Struthio camelus: one gene and its partners. The protein of the gene in region 1 purifies or fractionates together with the protein of each later gene. This does not show direct contact. Links are inferred from orthologs where the notes say so. Each region holds a gene or a part of one and is shown in the gene's direction. Other genes may lie near its edges.

Evidence for each region.
Region 2: the proteins of BAG3 (region 1) and DNAJB6 purify together in Homo sapiens (co-immunoprecipitation; 3 studies listed by BioGRID and IntAct, with this or other methods). This does not show direct contact. The link is inferred for Struthio camelus from reciprocal best matches to the Homo sapiens genes BAG3 and DNAJB6.
Region 3: the proteins of BAG3 (region 1) and HSF1 purify together in Homo sapiens (affinity purification with mass spectrometry; 3 studies listed by BioGRID and IntAct, with this or other methods). This does not show direct contact. The link is inferred for Struthio camelus from reciprocal best matches to the Homo sapiens genes BAG3 and HSF1.

Annotation. Positions count from the first base shown.
Region 1 is NC_090948.1:7,078,122-7,086,483, reverse strand, and holds the start of BAG3 (BAG family molecular chaperone regulator 3), read left to right. Parts: upstream 1-4,963; 5' UTR 4,964-5,078; coding exon 5,079-5,243; intron 5,244-8,362. UniProt on the Homo sapiens protein: Co-chaperone and adapter protein that connects different classes of molecular chaperones including heat shock proteins 70 (HSP70s), e.g. HSPA1A/HSP70 or HSPA8/HSC70, and small heat shock proteins (sHSPs), e.g. HSPB8.
Region 2 is NC_090943.1:10,884,414-10,891,699, forward strand, and holds the start of DNAJB6 (dnaJ homolog subfamily B member 6), read left to right. Parts: upstream 1-4,029; 5' UTR 4,030-4,172; intron 4,173-7,286. UniProt on the Homo sapiens protein: Has a stimulatory effect on the ATPase activity of HSP70 in a dose-dependent and time-dependent manner and hence acts as a co-chaperone of HSP70. Plays an indispensable role in the organization of KRT8/KRT18 filaments.
Region 3 is NC_090943.1:172,755,216-172,762,865, reverse strand, and holds the start of HSF1 (heat shock factor protein 1), read left to right. Parts: upstream 1-4,263; 5' UTR 4,264-4,296; coding exon 4,297-4,422; exon of another isoform or gene 4,423-4,820; intron 4,821-7,650. Other genes in the region: ribosome biogenesis protein BOP1, read right to left, coding at 3,073-3,249, 3,688-3,816. UniProt on the Homo sapiens protein: Functions as a stress-inducible and DNA-binding transcription factor that plays a central role in the transcriptional activation of the heat shock response (HSR), leading to the expression of a large class of molecular chaperones, heat shock proteins (HSPs), that protect cells from cellular insult damage.

The DNA of each region.
Region 1 (8,362 bases):
ATGGATAATTACCATTGTGGCAGTAAAAGAGACGGTGATAGACTCTAAATCTTCTCCTGATTTTTAATGAAGGCAGAGTTATCCTGATCGCTGCGTAGACCCAGATACCTCTTAAACCAGAGCTGGAGCTGTCTACTTGAGAGTTCTGTCTAAATGACTAAGGATGCACAGGGAATGGTTAACCAAACATGTATATTTTGTAAATATTACTTTAGCTTCCATAGGCCATTTATATCGTACTAAAAAACTGAGCTCTAAAAATCCAAGATGCCTTCTGCTGCTTATGTTCTGTGTTTAACTTTGCTCTTCCGTGCATACAGATCACAGAAATTGAAGTGGGTTTCACTTTGTTCACAGTCAGATTTGCTTTCTCGTTTTAAGGCAGGGTTACATCCCTTGTAGAAAATAAAAAATGAAAAGAATAAAGAATACTTTTTAAATGGAATTAGCTTCTGGAGTCTTATTCAGGTTCAAAAATCTGAAATTTGGAAATCTGAGTATATGCTTTGCGGATGCCAAGACTTGGTGCAAATGACCTGTGATTGAAACACGTAAGTTTAAAAAGCTTTTCTCCATTTAGCAAGTACATTTACCCCTCTATGTTCTTACTAATGTTTTGCATTTTCTATTGAAGTTAATAGGAGCTATATTTATATACCTAATTATTTGCATTTGATTACTGTAACTCCAATGAGCAGATGACACGATCAAACTGTACGGGCCGTACAATGGCTGCAGTAATACAGCAGTCAGTGTGAGATCAGACCCTCTGTGGATAGTGATCTATTTCATCAGCTGTTAGACTAAATTATGAGCTACAAAAACAAGGACAAAAAGGTCAGTAAAGTTATCTGTAGTATAAGAGGTAGAGTAGTAGAAGATTGCAAATCGCGGCATCTTTAATTTTCTGAAATAGGGGGCCAAATCATTTCAGTGATTTTTTTTGTTTTGTTGATGCCAAGAAGTCCACAATTCTGAACAAATCAAGAAGTCAAAATCTCCTCTGCTCCGGTTGTAGTTAGCAGAGAATTTTTAGTTAAGACCTTTTTGCTTTTAATTGAAATGGTTTGTACAGCTGGAGCAGGGTATTTCTTCAAAATGCAATCAGTGGAGTTCTGTGCTATTCAGTATTGATACTCTGGATGTGGATGAAGCATCAGGCTGTGGAAGTCATGGTAGTGGATTTGCCATGTTTATCTAACCTGAACATTAAGAGACTCCACGTGCCCGCTGCACTTATTAACAGAGCCTTTTTATGAACTCAATCTTAAATGCATCCAGCAAAGAACTTGTATTCCCACTTAGGAATACAGCTCTAGACACTTGTCATACACATTACTTACCCACAGATCCATCAGTAAAAGCTTTCTAGAATACCTGATCCAGAACAAACATTTTCGACTCATAGTCCTGATTAATCCAACTTTTTCTGTTCAGGTAATCTGCTAAATTATCATGGGTACTCAGAAGGTTGACCAGCCAATTTAGAGCTTATCCCAAGACACATTGCTTCCTGACATACCACAGAGATTTACTTGCTTATAATGGTGCTGCTTTGAACAACCTGAATTATTCAAGCCCATTTAGGAGAGAAGCAGCAGCACCATGGATAGCCTGCACAAACATGCCAGGCCATCTTGGACAGAACTGTCACCCAAGTCCTTGTGTGAACAGTAGATGAAACAGAGCACCTTGGCAGACAATTCATGATCCATCCGTGACAGAAGGTATGACAGCACGCAGTGAAGAACTTCCCCAGGTGGCCTATCTATGCTGTCCTGAGGTTTCTGGAACGTAGTTGTGCATATAAAATGAATTTACCACAGGCCATGGTATAATGTGGAAGCTGAGGCAAATTCTCTCCACAGTCTTGAAGATCAAAACGGAGAGATGATGTAGTTGCTGGCTTGAGGAAGAAATGGCTTTCTTGAGTTAGGGTCCTGGATTATTCCTTGGAAATCCAAGTGCTCATATGAGCCTAATGATTTTCTAATTGACTGGTGAAGAATCTGTCCATTTTCAAGACAAAGAAACACATGAAGACCCTGTACAGCTTATTATCTTTGGTTAACTGTGATTACATGGTTTCTGGTTGTTTTGGAACACCCTGGAACAAATGCTCTTCTGGGTCTGCAAAACCCTATGCAGATATCAACCTAAAGAAGTCAGGAGCACTATGTTTGCACCAATATGAAGAAGACAGAAGTCTCTCCAAAAAATAACAAAAGCTTCTTCATTATTTTCCCTTCTGAAATGGAATATATAGATCTCGAACCTGGAGTCTCATCTTAAAATACGTGGAGAGTACAGAAACTTCTTCATCTTTTAACAAATTTTCGTGGACCTGAAATTTTTGCTGAGCAGTATTCCTTACATGAACATTTCCCTAAATCAGTCTGGTCATGAATAAGACTAACAGTAATACAAACTAGAAGCCATGTTGCCTCGGAGTTGCAGTTATGGCCCAGCACAACATTGTATTAGAGAATAAAAAAGTGAATCACTGAGTTGCTATCCCCTATAACCTACCTAGCTGGGAATTCTTTCAGCTGTAAGAGGTACCAGGCTGAAATCTCTCTCTCAGGAAGAGATTTTAATTGACAGAAAAACCATGAGATCTAGCCAACTAAAATCAGTCACAAAAATGATTTTACTTCTTAGTCCACACTCCCTTCTCTGCAGCTGGAGCCTTGTCTCCGCGAGTCTCTCTCCTGTAGACAATCAAAAGCACCCCGACCTATTAGCTCCTGCTAATTTCTGTGAAACGTACTCTCCTCCATTCCTTAGCATGGCACAAATGCACAAACACGTCTAACTTACAATTGTTAGCTAGCCCTTTGAACTTTCCTTTTATTCATTCTTCACGTACTTGCTGACCTCATTCATTAACTCTGCTAAGCATACAACTAGCTATCAGCTGCAGCAAAACAAAGAAACCCCATTCTTCATTTCTCTATTTACACTCCATCAGGCACAAAAACTATGTGTATTACCTCAATTTACCTAAGTAGTTTCCCCGGCAAGACCTTTTAACATTTCTGTATGCTGTTCCCCTAAGTCAGTGGCTTTCGTTGACTTGGCAAGGACTGTGGTATATGCCACAGAGAACTTATGGTTTAAGCATGCTTCTTACTGTTCTGAAGATGAGACCAAAGAGTGAAATTTCTCTACAGATTTTTACAGATTGGAAGTAGAACAAATCTCAGATATCAAGTCTTTTGAGGCAACTGCTGATATTAATGAAGCTGGACAGAGATGGCTTTGATAAGAGCATGAGAGGTAGCAGGGTTAGGAGATATGTCCAGGGATGTGTATCACAGTCCAGGACTGATTTTAAGATATGCGAGATATGTGACTGTTGCTCTAACAAATGGGTAAGTCAGAAGCGATGATGCTGATAATACGAGCATTTCAAGGTACAGACTGAAAAAAAAAAGGTCAGTTTACAATACCTGCAAGTCAAAGGTGCACAATAACAATGAGGATAGAAAGAGCAGTCTTTGATGGACTACTGTGTAGTTCTGAAGGCAAGCAATGTACAGAATGGAAGTGTTACAGGAAGGAAGAAGCAAGTTTGAGGGGTTATTAGGTATACCAGCATAATGAAGTAAACTCATTCTGCCAATGGTTAAAGGAGTATCACCGTCAAGCAGTATCAAGAGATCTTTGGGCTTTACTTCCTCAAGCAAGAGGAGATCCTGACTGTCCCCAGGAGCGGGAACACACAGGCTTTTCTTAAGTACTTCAGTAATGACTATCTCCAAGGAATGCATGCCTTGAATTCCTTGAAGCAAGTAACTTTGCAGCAGGTAATGTCTGCACTTAAGGGACACTCTGCATTCACTGTTCTACTTAAAGTAACTATCAACAGGCATCTGTGGCATGACTGCCGGATGACTACAAGTGGAACAACTATGAAGTACAGTTAACTCAAACTGAACACTTAGGGGGAGTGCATGAAAAACTGATACAGCAGCCATAGAGGAAGGCATGATTTTCAAGTTTTGCGCTTTGACATATTCCTTGGTATTAGTGAAACTGAGGGCTGAGACACATTAAATTACAAAAAGCTAAAGAAGATCAAAACAGCTGAATCTGAAGAGCATGTCTGTCCATCCTCATACTTGGAAATAAAGATTATTTTTATTTGCTATTTGTCGGGTTTAGTCAATTACAACCTTAAGTTATCAGTCACAGGGCAAGCAAGATGCTCTCTGGGCTTTGGTCACTATACCAGGAGGTAGGAATTAATGGGCTGTTACGTCCCAACCATAGGAAGTTCAGAGTACGCTGCAGGGCTGTGTGTTCTCTGGGGACACTGCTGGCCTAAAAATCCCCTTCTCCTGTATCAGACTTACACTCTCGTAGCAGGAACTGGACAGAGCAGTAAAGCAGCATGCGTATCTTTTAGGTTTACTTTTCCAGAGTCTGCCTCAAGCATTGCTCCTGTTAAGTGGGCCTGTAAAATACATGTGCACTCCTGCAGAAAGGTAAAAGAGAGGACTCGCTCCACGCACTTATCCGCCCTGCCTCTTCCTGAGGAAGCCCCCGGGGGTGGGTCCAGACTGCAGATCTCTGGGGGCAGCAGCCGCCCCCCCCCCCCGGTCTGTTAAGACAAGACTCGCTCCAGTGCGACAGCAAGCAAAGCAGCCCTGCTCAGAAATCGCCAGTCACCCGCGCCACGCCGCCGGCTCTGCCGGGGGTGCGGGGCCCTCCCGCCGGGCCGGGCGCTCGCAGCGCAGGGGGTGAAGGAAACTTGCAGCCGCTGCCCCGGGGCCGGGCGGGGTGACTCAAGGGGCAGCCCCTGCCCGGCGGCCCGGAGGCGGCCAAGCTGTGCTAGACGCAACCAGAAGTTTCCAGCCGGCCAGCTTACCCCGCGCCTCTCGCTCTTCCTCCTCCGCCCCTCCTCCTCCTCCGCCCCTCCTCCTTCCCCTCCCCTCCTCCGCCTTCCCCCTTTGCACAGAGCGGCTATTTCCAGACACTTCCAGCCCCTTGTCTCCTCCCTCCCTCCCGCCCCGCTTGATAAAGGCGCCTGGCCGGTTTCCCCGCCTGACACTGCAGCTCCTGTCTGGCCCGGCATGAGTGCCGCCACTCACTCCCCGCTGGTGCAGATGGAGGGCGGCAGCGCCGAGCCGCTGCCCCCCGGCTGGGAGATCAAGATCGACCCGCAGACCGGCTGGCCCTTCTTCGTGGATCACAACAGCCGCACCACCACCTGGAGCGACCCGCGCCTGCGGGCCGAGGTACGGCGGGTGGGGAGGTGGGTGCCCCGCTCCGCGCCGCGCTGCTCCGCTCCCTTCCGCGCCCCGCCGCAACTTCGGCGGAGCAGCTCGGAGCGGGCGGGGGGGGGGGGGGGGAAGAGGGGGGAGAGCCGGCGGGGCGGCGCGGCCGCGAAGGGCAAAGCCGTGACAGAGCGGGCGGGGAGGGGCCGCGGCCGTTGGCGCCGCGCGGCCGTTGGCGCCGGGGCGGGGGGCAGGGCGCGGCCGGCGGCCCCCGCCCGGGGGGGGGGCAGGGCGGCCGGCGCTCTCCTCAGTGCATGGCAATGCAGTGAGGCCAGGAGCTGCCTTTTGTCTCTGACGCACTGCAGTCCCTTTTTTGTGCATTAAATCATTTGATACCTCGGCCCCTGTAATGTTTATTTAAAGTTGGTTAAGTCCACCCAGCCTGCCTGGGAAGACGCAAAACTTTGATGCCTTTTTTTTTTTTTTTTTTTCCCCCTGCTCCGGGTAGTCCAAACAGTGAATGCGTTTAAAAAAAAAAAAAAAAAAACCTAGAAACCCAATCCAGAGTTTATAACTTGTCAAGGTTTCTTTTCTGGTCACAAAGTATCTCAGTAATTTTGCTGTCTGGTTTTGTTTTGTTTTTAAGCATGCTCAGGGAAAAGCTGTATCTTAGTCCAAATATGTCCATGGGAAGAGAGGCAGCTGAGGGGAGAGCGGGTGTGAGGGGGTAAGGGCCCTCCTCAGTGGCTCTTTCAAGTCAAACTCTCTTGGTTCCCGGGAATACAGCGATTTGACCAGTATTAGCGTTTCTGTAAAGAATGCAGTGACTAGCCAGAAAGTGCTGGAAACTTTGAGCGGCACCAGAAGTTCCGAGTCCAGTGGAAAAACAATTCCTGTGGGATTTTTTTGCGTTTTCATCCCCACTTGGCCACACTTTACAGCTGTCGCCTTCGATTTTTTGCGACTGAATGAAACGGGTGGCGAGGGAGCGTTCCTATCAAAAAGCGCTGACTGTTTTTTTTTTTTTTGATTTGGCCATCCTCGCTACCTAAAACGTCACCCAGAGTTAGGGCCTAGAAAAGGGCCCCCGCCACGTACCAGCGGAGGACAACCGCCCGGTGAAAGGCGGAGGGAGGCCGCAGCCTGGGCCTGTGCGGCGGAGCCACGCGCCTGGCCGTCGGCCGGTTGGCGCGGCTGCGCCGGGGAAGGGCTCCTGCGGCTTGGGCCGTGGCTGGGGCGCTGCCCGGCCGCGCGCCCGGCGTGAAGGCCGCCGGGTTGGCAGGAGGCTGTGTGATGAGCGTGACCGTGCTCGTGTCAGCCCTCGAGGGTCACGGCCGCCTTGCTGTTTTGGCCTCTTGGGAAGAGCCTCGCGCCTGCTTGCTGGGAAGGAGTTCTGCTTGGGTTGCTGTTTTAAGCAGTAGCCCCCTATTTAAGAAATATATATATATATATAAAAATTAATTGCATGAAACATATCTGCGATGCACCGTTTTGAAGATACCTGGTATCTTCAAAATGTGTCTTCAATATACATCACAGACTTTTTTTTTCTTGGTAGCCTTATATAAATTACAAGGGTCAAAGCACTAGATACAGATTGTTATTTCAAGAATGGAAGTTTTTCTAATTACTAATTGAATGATAACGGCCTATTTTGAGAGTGCAGACCGTAACTGAAATCTCAGTGTGAGAGCAGCGTGGTATTTAAAACAAATGACCAGGGTATACTCTTCTGGCATAGAGCTGCTCCATCAGGGTAGCTTAGTGCAGTTGCGTTCACAGATACAAGCTATTGTTTTGAGAGTGTGGAAATGAATCCAAATGGACAAAACATATCCTTCTGTCCCATTTGTGGCTTTTTAAGTGCTAGTTAATTTAATATGCAAGTGTATTGTTCTGGTCGTAATGTAAAGAGGCCTTAAAAAATGTAATTCAATAATGGGAATATAAAGAATAGCATAGGAAAAGTGCTTTAACTCCTTTTTGGAGACACTGTTCTCCTAGTATAATGAGGCACCTGTTACACTGGCTGCTATGGCAATAAAAAGAACAAAATAGTTAAGTATGTTTCTTACAACCATAAAACATAGATGAGGAGAAACTAGTGCTATTTTACTCAAAGGCTTCTGTTATGGAAATACTGCTTGATGCTAACCCATTTAAGAGAAAAATAACACTTAAGCTGCTTTTGGTAATTGCATGAACACAGGAATTTGAAGTGCTCTAATGGATCAGTCTTCTTTTGAGTAGGTGCCTGATACAAGACAAATTTTCAGCCCTATCTGATATGAAATCTGTGGTAATGAGAAGTACTTCTTCTCCTGCCAAGTTGCAAGGGTTATTACAAATAGAAAAAGTTGCACCTGCTTTTGAAGGGCTTTGGTGGAATATAGTGTTGATTTTGGAGAGCTGCAGTGTGATCTTGCTCACAGAAAAATCTCCATATCACCATCTCTTATGGTGATAGAAATTGTGTGTGACTGATCTGATAGGGCCACTTGCCAGAGCCTAGAGAGTCTGTTCAAATTAATGGACAGCTTCTGAAACATTCATTTGTTAAGTACCATTTTATTTACGAGTACTATTGAGCAAAAACTCAGAATGTGACTCGAGGAAAGTGTTTCTGTTCCTAAATAATATTTTTGTAGCTAAGCTACGCCAGAGAAGATAGAGATTGATCACTGACATTGAATTTCAAATCCAACAATGTTTTTTTTTTTTTTTTTTAAAGGCATTAGATACTACTTTTACTTAAACTAGTTGAGAAGGACTGAATTGCAAATACAGGCAGACAGAGGTGAGGTACTAACACTGTTCTCAATTCCTGTCGTTCTTAGGCTAACTCAGAACAGAAAACTTAGCTTGTGGGAGTGAGCTGAGAATTACAAAAGCTGACCGAATGTGTCAGACCTCATGCGTCTTTTGCTAGGATGATTATGCAGAGACAAAATTTGCATTGACTTCTTTAATGCATTGTTCTCTTGATCAACTGAAATCAGCCAGTGAACTAGTAATTTTATTGATCACCTTTATGATGTTCTTTAACCATTACAGTATATCTATCCATATGCTGTCCTGAATATTCATTCCACTTTTTCAAGAGACTTAGGTGAGCAAATGAGCTATCCCACTTTAAGTGG
Region 2 (7,286 bases), on another chromosome or scaffold:
TTTGTGTGTTTGGGACCCTATGTCTGCTGGCTCAGTACAGCTCCGTGCGCTCTCAGGGCTCCTGCAGCCTAGTGAGGTTAGGAGGCAGACAGGCCAGCCAGCATGCTGCACGTCTTTAAAGCAAAGTAGTCATAGCCACCATACTTGTTTTGAGCTTCAGGTGATCTAGGAGAAGCAGAGACTTTGCCTAACATGTAATAGGTTAGATTTCATTAGCCTTGAAAATCTCGCAGGTTGAGGTATCAGCTGAAGATCTGAAGGGGTAAGAGATGGATGACCTGCCATACCAGGCTAAGACAACAAGTGTAGTGGGCAGAACAGCATGAAAGCAGCATTTCCTTTCCTGCTTACCAGCAAGCAACATTCTTCTGATCAGAAAACAGAAGCTAGGAAAACAAGACCTTGTATGTATATGTTCTTGACCCACTCTTGGATTTATGTCAGAGGTATGTTTCTCTGTTAAGTTCAACAGGAAGTAGAAATATCAAAAAGGATAAAAAGCTGACTCTCTGCACTTTTTGTAAGTTGGTCCTGTTAGTCTTGCGCTTGCAAAATTACCGTGAACGTCTAATCTACTTCTGTCCATGAAAAAAATTGTAGGGTCAAACGGAATGACTGGTCATTAACCGATAGGGGGAGCTTGAGACCACACGTCAGAAGCAGAGACTTCTTGGTTTGGTAGGAGCTGAGCAATCTAATGGATGTTGTGTTAGAGGCAATGTCAGCCTGAAGTCTCTGGAGTTATTCCTGCCTGCTCCTAAAAGCTTAAAATATCTTAATGAAGCCCTTAGCTGCTATCTCTGTCCCTTTGTCTCCTAACTTCACCAAGTCCACTGAGGTCCCATCAGCTCTCAGTCTCAGTGCGAGCCTGACAGACTTTGAGCTGCTTCTTGGCAGAATCAGTTTGATGTCGCTGCGTTGGGCTGCTGCCTAGGTACACTGCCAGAGCTGACCTAAACCTGTGTTTATGAATCCTTGCGCCAAGATAATAAAACCTCCCAGAACTGGAGCACGGGGGACAATGACATAAAGAGGCTCTGCAGAAACCAGCTCAGGTGTGACAGGGACAAGCTGGGGTCATGTTGTTTTATGATATAAGTTCTGGGGATGCTTTGCGCAGTCACCCAAGTCTCTGCAGTGCGCTCTGCAGTACAACGCACACTTCCCCATCTGGCTGGCTTTGTCATTTGCTGAAGTTCTTGCAATCTCCTTCCTTTCCCTATAACCTAGAAAATGGAAAATTATATGTGAAATGCATAATGTAAAGCTAAAAAAAACCCCTTCTTGTTCTCTTTCAGTGTTAGATAAGCTCAGATCTCACAGATAATAAGTTAAAAAATGTTCCCTAATATCAGTATTTTTATTGGTGGTTCCCCCTTGTGCAAAGTCTCAGGAAATTTACTCGTATCTCACTTCTAAGACAAGTGCCAAACGATTAAACATATTAAAATATAATTATGTTACCTTTTGTTTCTTCCTACAACTTTTTTGGAAACACGTATTTTATGTGTTTTGCGCTAGCCCTCCCCTCAGCTGTGAGCAAGGCATTTCACCTTCTTTTCTCCAGTGGCAAAATAGGTCTCAAAGCCTTCCCCATTATTTTGCCTCTTTCTGAACAGTGCTATTGGAGAGCTAGGCAGTCTAGCATTAGGGCAACGGTGTTAGAAATTCTGTGGGCAAGTTCATGCAATGCTATCATACTTACTACAATTGTATTTAAGCAGAAACGATACTGATTGCATTCAGGTAGAGGGTGTTGTGATTCAGTCCTATAGTTCCATCCAGAATTACATTTCTTTGCTAGTCTTGTTCTGCTTGCGTGAATAAATGGAAGATTTTACGGTCTGGATCCATTGGGCTACCACTTTAATACAAAATCTACTCTCTAAAAAAGCAAAATTCACACCAGAAGACTGTGCTGCCATTCAGAGGGACCTGGACAGGCTGGAGAGCTGGGCGGAGAGGAACCTCAGGAAGTTCAACAAAGGCAAGTGCAAGGTCCTGCACCTAGGCAGGAGTAACCCCATGCAGCAGTACAGGCTGGGGGTTGGCCTGCTGGAAAGCAGCTCTGCAGAGAGGGACCTGGGAGTGCTGGTGGACAACAAGTGAAGCATGAGCCAGCAGTGTGTCCTTGTGGCCAAGAAGGCCAATGGTCTCCTGGGGTGCATTAGGCAGAGTGTTGCCAGCAGGTGGAGGGAGGTGATCCTGCCCCTCTCCTCAGCCCTGGGGAGGTCTCAGCTGGAGTCCTGTGTCCAGTTCTGGGCTCCCCAGAACAAGAGAGACATGGCACTCCTGGAGAGAGTCCAGCGGAGGGCTACCAAGATGATGAGGGGACTGGAGCACCTCTCCTATGAAGAAAGGCTGCAAGAGCTGGGCCTGTTCAGTCTGGAGGAGACTGAGAGGCGATCTCATCAACGCGTACAAGTATCTGAAGGGGGAGTGTCGAGAGGACGAGGCCAGCCTCTTCTCCGTGGTGCCCAGCAACAGGACAAGAGGCAACGGGCAGAAACTGAACCACAGGAAGTTCCATCTGAACCTGAGGAAAAACTTCTTTCGTGTGAGGGTGACAGAGCATTGGAAGAGGTTGCCCAGAGAGGTAGTGGCGTCTCCTTCGCTGGAGATATTCAAAACCCGTCTGGATGTGATCCTGGGCAATATGCTCTAGAGGCCCCTCCTTGAGCAGGGAGGTTGGACTAGATGATCTCCAGAGGTCCCTTCCAACCTAAACGATTCTGTGATTCTGTGAAAATAACTGTTTCATTTGCTACTTTTTGTGTATTTACTGCCTGTGAGATTTTTAAGAGATTAAAGACATGATACTTTGTTCTCATTTGTCTACCACAGGTTGAGGAAAAACTTATTTCTACATCAAGAAATGTTTAAAGAATTAGAGCAAGATTTTATATAATCTTCTCCTGAACTAGAGAGTACTCATCTGCAGTTTGCCCTTGAGCTTGCTAGACCTTGAATCTTCTGAGGTTTGCAACTGCACCTGTTAGAAAGAGCCAGTCTAACCTACTGTTCTTCGTTTTTTGTTTTTCTTTCCAAGTGGGTCAAAAACTTTCTGCACTTCACAGCTAATTGCTGACGGGAAACTTACACTGGTGCTAGGTATGTCTTTGATGTAAATTAAGGACTTGTTTTCATGACCCCAGTTTGGCATCAAATCTCACTGCAGCTAAATTTCTTTCGAAGCCAGGGCTATCCTACCAGTTACCTTTCTGATTTTTATTAGGTTTTCCTCTGGCTTATTCCAAGCTTGCTTGTTCCTTCTTGCGTTGGTACATCTTACTCCGACATAAGCATTTTCATCTCCAAATTCCTGAGTAGCCTTTGAATTAACTTCATTTTGGGAGCAGATAGGTTTTACATTTGGAAACTCTCTAATTTCAGTTCACTGATCCATAAAACAATGCCTTTATGCAACTTCTTTTAAATAAAGGGCAAGAAATACAGTTTTGCAGCAATTTAAAGCATGGATAAACTCCATTTTTTTAAAATAGAATTATTACTTGGCAGCTTATGCTATGCTCTCCCTGCTCACGCTTTTCTCACAGCCGTCAGAAAACCACATACTCAAAACATGACCCAAGGGATACTTAAATTTCAGACAGCACAGTGTGAGCCACAAAGGAACCTGTACAGGTGCCAGCTGGAAAACAATTAATGTAGCCTTAAAATAAGCTCAGGGGAAGGGTTACAATTTTTGAGGCTAAAAAAGAGATGGGCATGTAGGGATTTTAATCAGCCTTTTCACTTTTCCGTGCCCTGGGGCAGGGAGGGCCGTTGCAGAGGCTCTTCTGCCCCCGGGGCTCCGGTGAGGGGCCGGCACCCCCGGGCGCGGGCGGCCGTTACAGCCGTTGGTGGGAGGGGGGAGGTTCGAACGCAGCCCCTCCCCACCCCCCCCCCCCGGCGGCGCGCGCGCGCGCGCTGCAGGGCGGCGGGCAGCCAGCAGGGGGCGGGGTCGGCCCGCGCGGCGCCCGGCGGGCGGGCCGGCCGCGGCGAGAGCACGCCTTTCCAGAAACTTCCGGAAACAGCCGGGCGGAAGTGACGGCGTCGCGTTGACGAGACTTCCCGTTTGAGTCCGAGGAGAGGTGCCGCTGCCGCCGCCGCTGCCGTTGCGCCGGGCGGGCGGGGAGGGTGACGGCCGCGCTGCTGAGGCTCCGGGGCCGGTGAGTGCTGGGCGGGCCGCGGAAGGCCGTGGCGGCGGGCAGGGCGGGCCGGCCTCGGCCTCGGCTCTGGGCAGCGGTGTGGGGCCCGGCCCGGCTCGGCCCGGCTCGGCTCGGCCCGGCTGGGCGGCCGCCATGCTGCGGGCTGGCGCGGGGGCGCCGCGCTGGGGAGCCCCTGCGGCGGCTCCTGGGAGGCGGGAGCGAGGGCTGCGTGGGCAGCGGAGCGGGGCGGCGGGGATCCCCGGCCCTCGGGGGCGGGGAGCGGGGGAGCCGCCCCCGCGGGCAGCGGCCTCCTTGGGCTTATCCCGGGAGTCGCGGTGGCGGAGCGGCAGTTCGGGACTGCGCAGCGGAGGATCCCGAGGCGGCTCGGCCTCCTTCTCCTGTTTACGGCAAGCGCAGAAGGGCTAGGGGGAAAAAAATCCGCATTTCTGTTTTTGTTTGCATCGGTTGCCAGTAGCAAAAAGGTGAGGGGGAGTCTCTGTTCACCCATGACTCTTTTGAGTGTGTTGGATCGTCTTTTACTTGAACTTCTTTTATTCGTAGTTTACTTTTTGGTGTGTTTATAAACTGAATGTGCTTTTGCTTTTTTTTTTTTTTTTTGCGATGGAAGCTGTATTCTATTTTGCTGTTATTAACTTACAGAGTAGGCTCAGTATGATGTGCTGTGTTTGAGGGCAGCACATCATTTGAGTGGTGGCCAGAGGTGTCCAAGTTATAAATGGCTTTGTATTTTCAGGACTTAGGAGAGGGCCGTGGGTTGGGAAGTGAAGTTATTTATGACCAGTATTCCTGCTTGTAGTAACACTTTATGCTGTATTACAGTTTAACAGTCAGAGCTTGTGCTGGTTGATGAAATGCGCCACAGACTTGAGCGTTAGAAGAGACTGAAAACATTGAGCAAATCTATCATGAATTCTGATAATGAGATAATGCTTGGTTGATTTCATTTTGGCCAGGATAACATTATAGAAGCTGAATTTGCAGCGATGCTAATGTGCAAATGGTCAAACTTGCAACATTGCATAGTCAATCAGTTGTCAAGTGCTTTTTTTTTTTTTAATATGATGTAAAGCATCAAAGAGTGATAAGAACAAGGTGTTGACATAGTGTGACTAGCTGGAATGAAACTGGGTTCAAACTCTTGGTCCTCTGAGATTGCAGTTACTGCTGCTTGCTGGACTTAAGTTTTGTTTACACTTTGGGGAGCTCCTTGTTTTCCAGTCAGGAAGGATTATATGTTCAGTTGATGAATCAAGAGCCCAGTGGTTAAAGTACAATTTAGTTTGCTGGATTATGTTGTCAGAGAAGATTTGTTTGGACCAGTGAGTAAATGCTTTCATAAATTTTGTTCCTATGTTTACTTTTTTGTGTAGTTTGTTTCTTTTGCTTTTCTTTCTGGAGTCCTACAACTGACTGAAATGCCACACCACTTGTGTTAGCCATTCTGCTCTTGTGCTGCAGGCTGTAGAGAAGTAGTGCATCTTGACTGAGTCAATGTATTGGACTTTCAGGTTTCAGCAAACAGTCTGTTTTTACTGTATGTAGTGATGATTTTGATAGAAAATGTGAAGTCCAGCCTTGATTTTAGAAAATGTGAAGTCCAGCCTTGATTTTAGAAAATGTGAAGTCCAGCCTTGATTTTAGAAAATGTGAAGTCCAGCCTTGATTTTAGAAAATGTGAAGTCCAGCCTTGATTTTAGAAAATGTGAAGTCCAGCCTTGATTTTAGAAAATGTGAAGTCCAGCCTTGATTTTAGAAAATGTGAAGTCCAGCCTTGATTTTAGAAAATGTGAAGTCCAGCCTTGATTTTAGAAAATGTGAAGTCCAGCCTTGATTTTAGAAAATGTGAAGTCCAGCCTTGATTTTAGAAAATGTGAAGTCCAGCCTTGATTTTAGAAAATGTGAAGTCCAGCCTTGATTTTAGAAAATGTGAAGTCCAGCCTTGATTTTAGAAAATGTGAAGTCCAGCCTTGATTTTAGAAAATGTGAAGTCCAGCCTTGATTTTAGAAAATGTGAAGTCCAGCCTTGATTTTAGAAAATGTGAAGTCCAGCCTTGATTTTAGAAAATGTGAAGTCCAGCCTTGATTTTAGAAAATGTGAAGTCCAGCCTTGATTTTAGAAAATGTGAAGTCCAGCCTTGATTTTAGAAAATGTGAAGTCCAGCCTTGATTTTGAACGTAGAGTTGTGCAGTGTTTAGTATTCCAGTATTTTTCTCCTTACGTAGTAAATGATGCATTTCTTCAGTAGCATTTATGAAGAACCTAATCAGCAGTATCCTGAACTCATTTTCTGCTAACGGAAAATGATTTTTTTTTTTTTAAATCTATAAAGTAACTTGATTTATTCAAGGAATGGAAGGATTAGTGAAAACTTATCTAGCTCTGTTAAAGCTTAGTGGATCTTATGTATGATGATTGTGTATTTCAAGATAAATTTAAATCAAAACTCCTATATTTGATCTGGGGTTTAAATTATTGTTTTCTTTACTTTTGCATGAGATTTGAATGGATGTTAGATTTCTCTTGAATTTAGACTTAATGAAAGTTTAATTCTGTTTCTTTGCTTTACAACTAGGTAAGAAATAATTCATGCGTATAAACTTCACTCCTTAGGTTGGCATTTCTAGGTTTGGTTTCTGTTTTTCATTTGTTCTGAATGAATACTAAAATTCCATTGATATGAATGGGGACCCAGTCCTTCAGGTTGAAAACAGGAATATCAAGAGGGCCCAATGATGTTTTTGGGCTGTGTATGTTTCACAGATGGCTTGCCAGGTCATTTTTCCCTAGATAGAAGAAGAAAACTAGGATTCAAGTTTTTCAGTTCTTTCTTGATCTCTTACTTTAGTAGCTTAAGTTAGTTTTGCAGTATTTCTGCACAGTAGACTTTTTCTAAGGTTGAAAATTAAGAAATGATTGAATTGGAAATAGATCTGCTACAATGTTCACCTGAAAACTGAAATGTTTCCTCTAGGTACACAATTGAAATTAGTAGCATTTGAGGTTGGGCTCTTTAGTTCTTAATTTTTTTTTTTTTTTTTTTTTTACTTAAATCAGGTTATTAATCTATACTGCGGTCTGTCTTTACTGTTAAGGTTGAGGTTATGACAAGCTGG
Region 3 (7,650 bases), on another chromosome or scaffold:
ATGGGTGACCATACGCCCTCCTCCTTTCTCGGGCCCCACGTGAGACAGCCTTTCAGCCTGCCAGGAAAACCCTGGCACCAAGAGAGAATCCTGCACACAAACAGCCCCCAACCATCGAATGAGAAGGTCTCACAAAGTCCACCTGGGCCAGCAACACCAGATCTTCGTGCTGAGTTCAGCTCCGAATAGATCGTTCTGAACGCTGATCACTGACCAGGCGAGTGAGCCACCAAACTAATGCACTTACAACACTCAGCTGACACTACAGACAACTTCTTCTATACTGGAAGAGACCAGCATTTGAGAAATCTCATTCAAAATTAAACATATCTAACCAAGGTAAATAAACAGTTCTCCTGCACGAACAAGTGAAATATTTTCTAAACAGAAGCTAGCTCTCTTCGTTCCTGGCCTAAAGCCATAAGTCCATTAAACATGACAGTAAAATAGCACTCGGGCAAGAGCACTGCGCGTCTACCATCTCTGCTGGCAGCTCAGCGATTCTCCCCAGCAAGGGACGACAACTTAGTGCTCTGAAGAAAGACCCAGCTGAGTCAGAGTCGACCTAAGAGCGTTCCCTTCTTAGACTCTGCATGTCTACTCTACACTCTTCTTCTCAAAGTTTCCACCCATGAAACAGTGAGCGCAGTCCAAAGCTGAGAGCAAAAGCAGGCAGAACAGTGACCAAGGAAAGGCTCAAAATGCTTTTAAGGAAGCAGGCTCCTGGGGAAATTCCTACTTAGTAATTTAGCTCTGCTCTCCCTAACTATCCAAGCACTTTGAATGCAACATAAAAATCTTAATTGTGCATAGCTCCTGAAATTCTCAAGTCACTCTGGAAAGCTGTCTGAACTGCAGAAGTTTCCAACACTATAATGTAGCAGTCTTTAACCCATATATTTATGGCATTATGCAAAGGGCCTGTAAAGAAGGAACAGAAGAAAACCTCCCCTCAGGAGGCTGGGGTTCACTAGACAGGGTCCACAGCTCCTTTAGAAAGTGTTCAGGAGTGGCTGCGAACCAAAAAGGACAATGGCACAGATAGTAGATTAACTTCGTTGCAAGACCCCAGAGAAGAAAACGGTCTGAAAAGAGCAAACCTCTGTTTAACCCTGTATGGGAAAAGTGAAACCCTCATAAGGAGCGTTTTTTTTTTTTCAAACAGGCACAAAGGGTAAATACATTCCTGGCCAAGACTGATATGTCTGATGTTTTTTCCCCATGTGAAAACCCTTCAGATACCCCTCTGAAGAGGGGATCCAATTAAGGCCACTGCTCCGTCTCTAACACTCCCTGCTCAGAAGGGCTGCCGACCACGTTAGATAGCTCTCTTCACAAGCCGCCCAGCGACACGCACGGCTCCTGTGTGGCAGGAACGACACCATTCCAGGCCCACATGCTAAGATGCCATTGACTTTGTTATAGCGGAGATCCTAAAGGCAGAAGGCAAACCACCAGGCCATCCCTGCCCAAAGCAGAAGCAAGGCCAAAGCACATCTCGCCGATGGCCTTGTTCACAGTAAGGGGAATCTACGTTCAAACTTCCTCCGACCTCGTCAGACTCTGCTGCTACTGCTCTAACTCTTTTATAGGCTGTGCCAGCTATAGAAAGCACATGCTATTTCAGTGTAGAGCACTCATCACCGCGTTTAGCTTGACCTGGGTTGCAACAAGACAGTGACGGATCCCACTGCCTGCAGATATTTGCCTATGGGCCGGTAGTATTACAAAGAGTTGGATATGGAGTAACAGGTGGAAGAACTGAGAGCGGTGGAAGGGATGATGCCTAAGAACCAGCCTCAGCTCTCATACAATAAGACGGACACAGGCGGACATACAATGCATTGGCAAAAGTCCTGGCTTGGGGAATTGTCCTACACATTCCTGTCCCTGCGCAACACTCTGCTGTGCTTGTACAGTTGATTACATGGACACGTGGCAAAACAGATCAGAGAGCCAATGCCAAGGAAAACAACCACCGCTACCAACAAAAAAGCCTGTGCAGTTCAGGGGACCAATTGTTCTGAAAAGCAAAACAAAGCAACAACAACAAGCCCCATTTCCACTGTGCTATTTCTGGGCTGGATCAGCTGCCTGACCTAGCCCACTAAGTGGATTCATAAACAGCTGTTCAAGCATAACAAAGACAGCGGTGTCGGTGGGGACAAGCAGCTGTAGATGGAGACGACTCAAGCAGCACTGCTGCTGAATACCAAAACTGCAGCCTAAGGCACCATTATAAAATTCCTAAACAGGTTATTAGAGTAAGTTTCTACTCAGTTGCTACTCCAGACCTTGGTAAAGCTTCTACATGTTGCCCAAATCAATAAAAACACAGCTCGAGAAACACAGCCAGGAAAACAATAAGGCACTTTTTGTTCACAAGTTGGAGCATGACCCAGGGCAAAGGAGGCTGGAGTAGCCTAAGTAACATTAACGTTCATTAATATCGCAAGAGGAACTAGAGTGTTAATTCTTCCACCGCTCTTTCTGCCTGTGCTTTCTGAAATAGAAGTAAGGCTGTGTCTTTACAGGATTTTTTTTTTAAATGGCATCGACAGCAGAAGTATCACTGCTAGCACAGATTCTAGAAGCGCAGAGAGGCGTAAAATCCCTTTTCCAACTAACAAACAAGCAGCACCACAGCTCTCCAGGCTGCTTCTCATCACCAAATGCAAGCCTAGGGTCAGGAAACGTAAGCCTCACCTAAGCCTGTACACATAAGGTTTCTTCTTCACTGACGCTGTGTCCAAGAGGGGACACCAGGCATGCGAATGAACGTTGCCCCCCCCCCCAGCCCACCCCAAACTTTTAGGGCTGCTCTACTCAGCGCGCAGCTCAGCCAGGCTGCCGGCGCCAACCTAGCTGCACTGGTGTCACCGCACAGAAAAACGGCCCGTGACCTTCCCGAGCGCGCTCCTGAGAGGAAGGCTCCCCTTGGCAGGAGCTTCGTCGCCGCCTCAGGCGGGCGGCCCGCGCTCTGCTCTTCCTGCCCGGCTCACCGAGCAGGGGCGCGGGGGGCCCCCCGCGCAGAGGCCTCCGCAAAGGGGCACCGGGCGGTGCGGGCCTTACGTGTGCCTGCGAGGGCGAACCGTCCTTCGGCTCTTCCTCCTCCTCCTCCTCCTCCTCCTCGGTGCTGCTGTCGCTGCCCGAGTCCTCCAGGCCGGAGTAGACGCTCTCCTCGCTGTCCGTCAGGTCGTCGCTTTCCGTGCCCGGCTCCTCCGGCACCGCCGCACCGGCAAGAGGCCGCTGCAAGGCAAGAGCCGAGGTCGCATCACACCGGGGCCGCGAGGGTGGGGGGGGGGGACCCGGGGGCGACACCGGCGGCGCCCGCGGGGCCCCTGACAGGGCCCGGGCGGCCCCCGACAGCCGCCGCCTCCCCCCTGCCCCGGCGCGGCCGCCCCGTAACCATGGTGACGCCTCCCCGCCGCCGCCCCGTAACCATGGTGACTCCCGCCCCGCCGCCGCCCCGTAACCATGGAGACGCCCCCCCACCTCCCTCCCCCGCGGCGCGCGCGCCCCCCGACCTGCTCCATGGCTCCTTCCCGCCGCCCCGCGTGCGCCGCCGCCGGCCACGTGCGCGCGGGTCAGAGGTCACGGCGCACCGCCCCCCCCACCCCTCCCCTCCATCCCGGACCGGTTATTTTCTCATTCTTCTTCCGCTTCCGCCTCGCCGCCGGCACGCACCGCGCCGGCCCCGGCGGGAGGAGGGGCGAAGACAGCCGTTCGGACGGAAAAATAAAAAATAAAATTAAAAAAAAAAAAGAATCGGGGAGGGAGGTCAAAGGTGAGAGGGGAACTCGGCCTGAGGCGCATGCGCCCTAGCCCACCCGCCCCTCCCCGCCCCGCCGGGGGCACCGCGCATGCGCGCGGAGGGGCGGACCCGAGGCGCCGGCCCGGCGGCGCATGCGCGGTGCCCCGCCCCGCGCCGGGCGGTGGCGGCGGCGCGGAGGGGGCGTGGCCCCCCGTCCACGGGCGGCGGCGGCGGCGGCGGCCGCGGAGGGGGAGGGGGCGGGGCGGTCCCGCGCATGCGCGCGGCCGTCCCGCGCGGGGGGCTTGTCTCGGAGGCGTCCCAAGATGGCGGCGGCCATGCTGGGCCCCGGGGGTTGCAGTGCGCAGGCAGCGGCCGGGCCCCGCCGCGGCGGTCGCCGGCGGCACTAAACCCCGCGCCGCCCGCCCGCCCGTCTCGGCCTTCCCTTCCTCCCTCCCTTCCCCCCCCCGCGCCCGCCCTCCGGCGGCTCCCCGGGGGGGGGGGACGCGCCGCGGCCTGCCCCGGGGCCTGCAGCCGCGGCCGCCATGGAGGGGCCCGGCGCGGCGGCGGTGGGCGCCGGCCCCGGCGGCAGCAACGTGCCCGCTTTCCTCACCAAGCTGTGGACCCTGGTGGAGGATCCCGACACCGACTCGCTCATCTGCTGGAGCCCGGTGAGTCCCGCTTGAGGGGACGACGCGGCCGAGCCCCGGCCTGTGGCCCGGGCTCCGCTGTGACTTCGCCAGCGCCAGACCTGAGCCTCGGTGTGTCACAACGTCGCAGCGGGTTCCTGCGCCTCTCCGGGAGAAGCGCTTGCCGAATTAGAGGCCTTCCCCCCACCCCCAGTGCTTGTGCAGCCTGTGAACCTCGTTGCCTGAGTAACACCCCACGGGGAAACGAGCTCTCCCCTGTACTTAAGGGAAAAGCGGTGTCCAGGTGCTCGCCTAACTGTTCCTGCGGCAGGGAACGCTGTGTGTGGCTTTTAGAAGCGTCATTATAGCTTGCAGCGGTAGAGCCTGCGTGCAGGCGAGCCTTTCTAGCCTTTGCCCAGCGCTGGGCACGTGCTTCTGGTGCGTTTCTAAAAAAAACGCCCCAGGTTTGTACTTAACACCAGTCACGCAAGCTTCGTTTTCCATCTCTTCTAGCCACTCGTGAAAGTTTAACTTTTGTCTGAAAGATAGCGGTATCCAGAGCGTATCCTGTGAGCAGTCTTTTGGAGGGTGATACGTTCACAGTGCTCACCTGCAGTCAAAATGGAAAGCTTCCTTGCTGTTTGGTTCTTAAGTTGACAGACCAAACAGTTAAGTGGGAATCAAACTCTTATGAATGCTCAATTACTCCGTCTCCCACAGTCTGTTAACAGACTCCCATATCACCTTGTCCTGACTCCAGATCAGATACTTGCTACCAGAACCGATGAGGGGAGAGAAATACGCTGACATTGGTAAGAGTGAAAAGGGCTGTCATACACAGGTTTCACCTCAGATGGAAGTGAGGAGCGAAGACAATGGGAACTGTTGTTAAAGATAACAAAAATGAAAGATAAGGGCCAAAATAAAAGCTAATATATCCTGGGAATGTTTTTTCTTGATCATAGCGTGATCATAGCTGCTCTCTACCGACTTCCGTCTGCTTATCTGACTCAATGTGGTAGTAACGAGATGAAAGACCTGCACTGTGTGTTTTCCACAGATATTGCATTGCTCTTTAACTATGCAAGTCATTGCCTGTAAACAAATGCCTTGTCTTGTCACTGGAACAAACAGAGACTTAATGCCTTGCGTTTAATGAGTTTATGATCATTACCGTGTTGCTGGAATAGTAACCATGAGAAATTGCATTTGCGGGAGGGGCGGTGAACAACATTACCCTGTTCCCTTGCGTTTGGGAACTGCAGTGGGAAATTCAAGTTGCCTTAATCTTAGCTGTGGGTGGAGGAGGTTGCTTGGAGATACTATGCAAACTTTGGGCTTCTGTTTACAAGCAAACAGATTCGCCTAGGCTTCTTGGGTAGTGCTACAGTGAACTGGGACTGGAAATCAGCAGGCTTTTGTAAATAGGAATGATGTGCTTTGCTTGTGCTGCCAGGTACGCAAAGATGCTTACATCTTTAAGTTTCTCCTCCTTCTGGGGGGAGAGGGAAAGAAGGGATGAATGGTACCTGTGATGCGATTTTAAAACTCAAGAGTTTATTGAAACGCGTGGTGTTTGTCAGTGTTGAGGCTGCACAGAGGACTTCCTGACTGCTTGCTTCCATCCCTGTGGCATGATTTGCTCCTCCCTCTTCTTTGGGGTTATTTCTAATCTGGGCCATTTCAATTTGTGCCATGAGTACGCAAAGTTGTATTAGCCCATCGAGGGGGTAAGTAAACTGTTCCTAGGAGGCGGGAATGAAAAGGCGAGGAAGAAACAATCATAAACTGTTTTTTTCATCTTGTGAAACAAGCATCCTGGGTAAGGATTATTTCATGGTAACTGTCCAGGTACGTGTTCTTGTCCTGTGTTAAATGTGCAATATTCTAATTTGTACAATGTGTAATAAACTCCTCCATGCTTACTGTAGGGTAAGTGCGCATGAAAAGCAGTACAGTAACTCACTCATGGTGTTGGAGCCCTAAAGTTCAGCCTGGAGACACACTCCAAGGCAACTTTGCTAGACTTGTAAATAGATTTTTAGATTTTTTTTTTTATACTCTTGATAACTGGATGACTCTTATAGGTCTTGACAAGGGAAGGTCTGGATACAACTCTCAAATTTATCGTAAAGGTCTTAGCTCCTGAAGGTCTTCACTTCAGAAGTTTGTTTTTGCTTTTATGGAATGACTGTGCCTGGCATCTGACCTCCTTGTTATTCATGATGTTGGAAGTACATATTTTATGAGTTGATGATGAAATCTGTGCGAAACATCCACTGTGTGAAAACCTGGAGAAAGAGAGGGCTCCTCCCCTAAGTAGTTCTCTTTTCTTTTTTCTTTCCTTTTTTTAATGCAAAGAGTGTGGATACAAAACCAAAGTGGCTGATTATTCGTAAACTATCTCAATGGTGCAGGATGTTGGCTGGAGGAGAAAAGAGCTTTGGAAAATCTACGCAGCGGTAGTCCGAGAACTGAGCCTTTTAGTATCAGTGAAAAGCAAATTTTGCTTTGGTGGGAGAGGGACAGAGTAGGAGACAAATCTTTGCTTCATGCGCAAGTTGCTTGCTTTGTTGTTCATCCCGTTCTTTCTTTTCTCTCTCTCCCTTTATCTTGTACCTGTTCTCTTTTTATCATCTGCATTTATTTCCTTTCTTTCAATTTCCTGTGCTAATGGGTGGGAGGGAAAAGCTGCAGGGGTTCAGGCGCATGGATCTTGAAGTGCTTGCAATGAGGAGAGATCTTTTATGTGTTTGTGAGAAGAAATCATCTCAGTAGAAAGGAAAATCAACATAACGGGAGGGTTAAAGAAGCAGAATATACTTCTTAGATGTCTAACTCTTAATTTTACTGCTTTGAAGGTAAATTCCTCAAATATAAATTTGTATGATTCCGTGACACAGTTTTTTTAGTAACTTTCTCATCTTTGAAACCTCTCTACAGGTAATGCTGGATTTTCAAATGTGCACCCCTGTGTAGTCACTGCGGGTCTGAGAGGCAGGATGGCTTTTAGTCATTTAGCATATTCTCAGCATCAGATTCTGTTATGGGCCTATTTCTGCCCTACATCACTCATAAATCCCCCTCTCTTTTTCCAAGTGTAGCATAACCACTTTTAATTCAGAGACTCTCTGATTTGCAAATCACTAGAGGCTGAAAGTGTTCTGGGAAAGTACCACAGTATGCTCGCTCTGTTCACATACTTTTACCAAAGCATCTCCTCTTGGCCTCGCAGACCAAGGCTGTTGAGTTGTATGTTCTGAAGTGCAT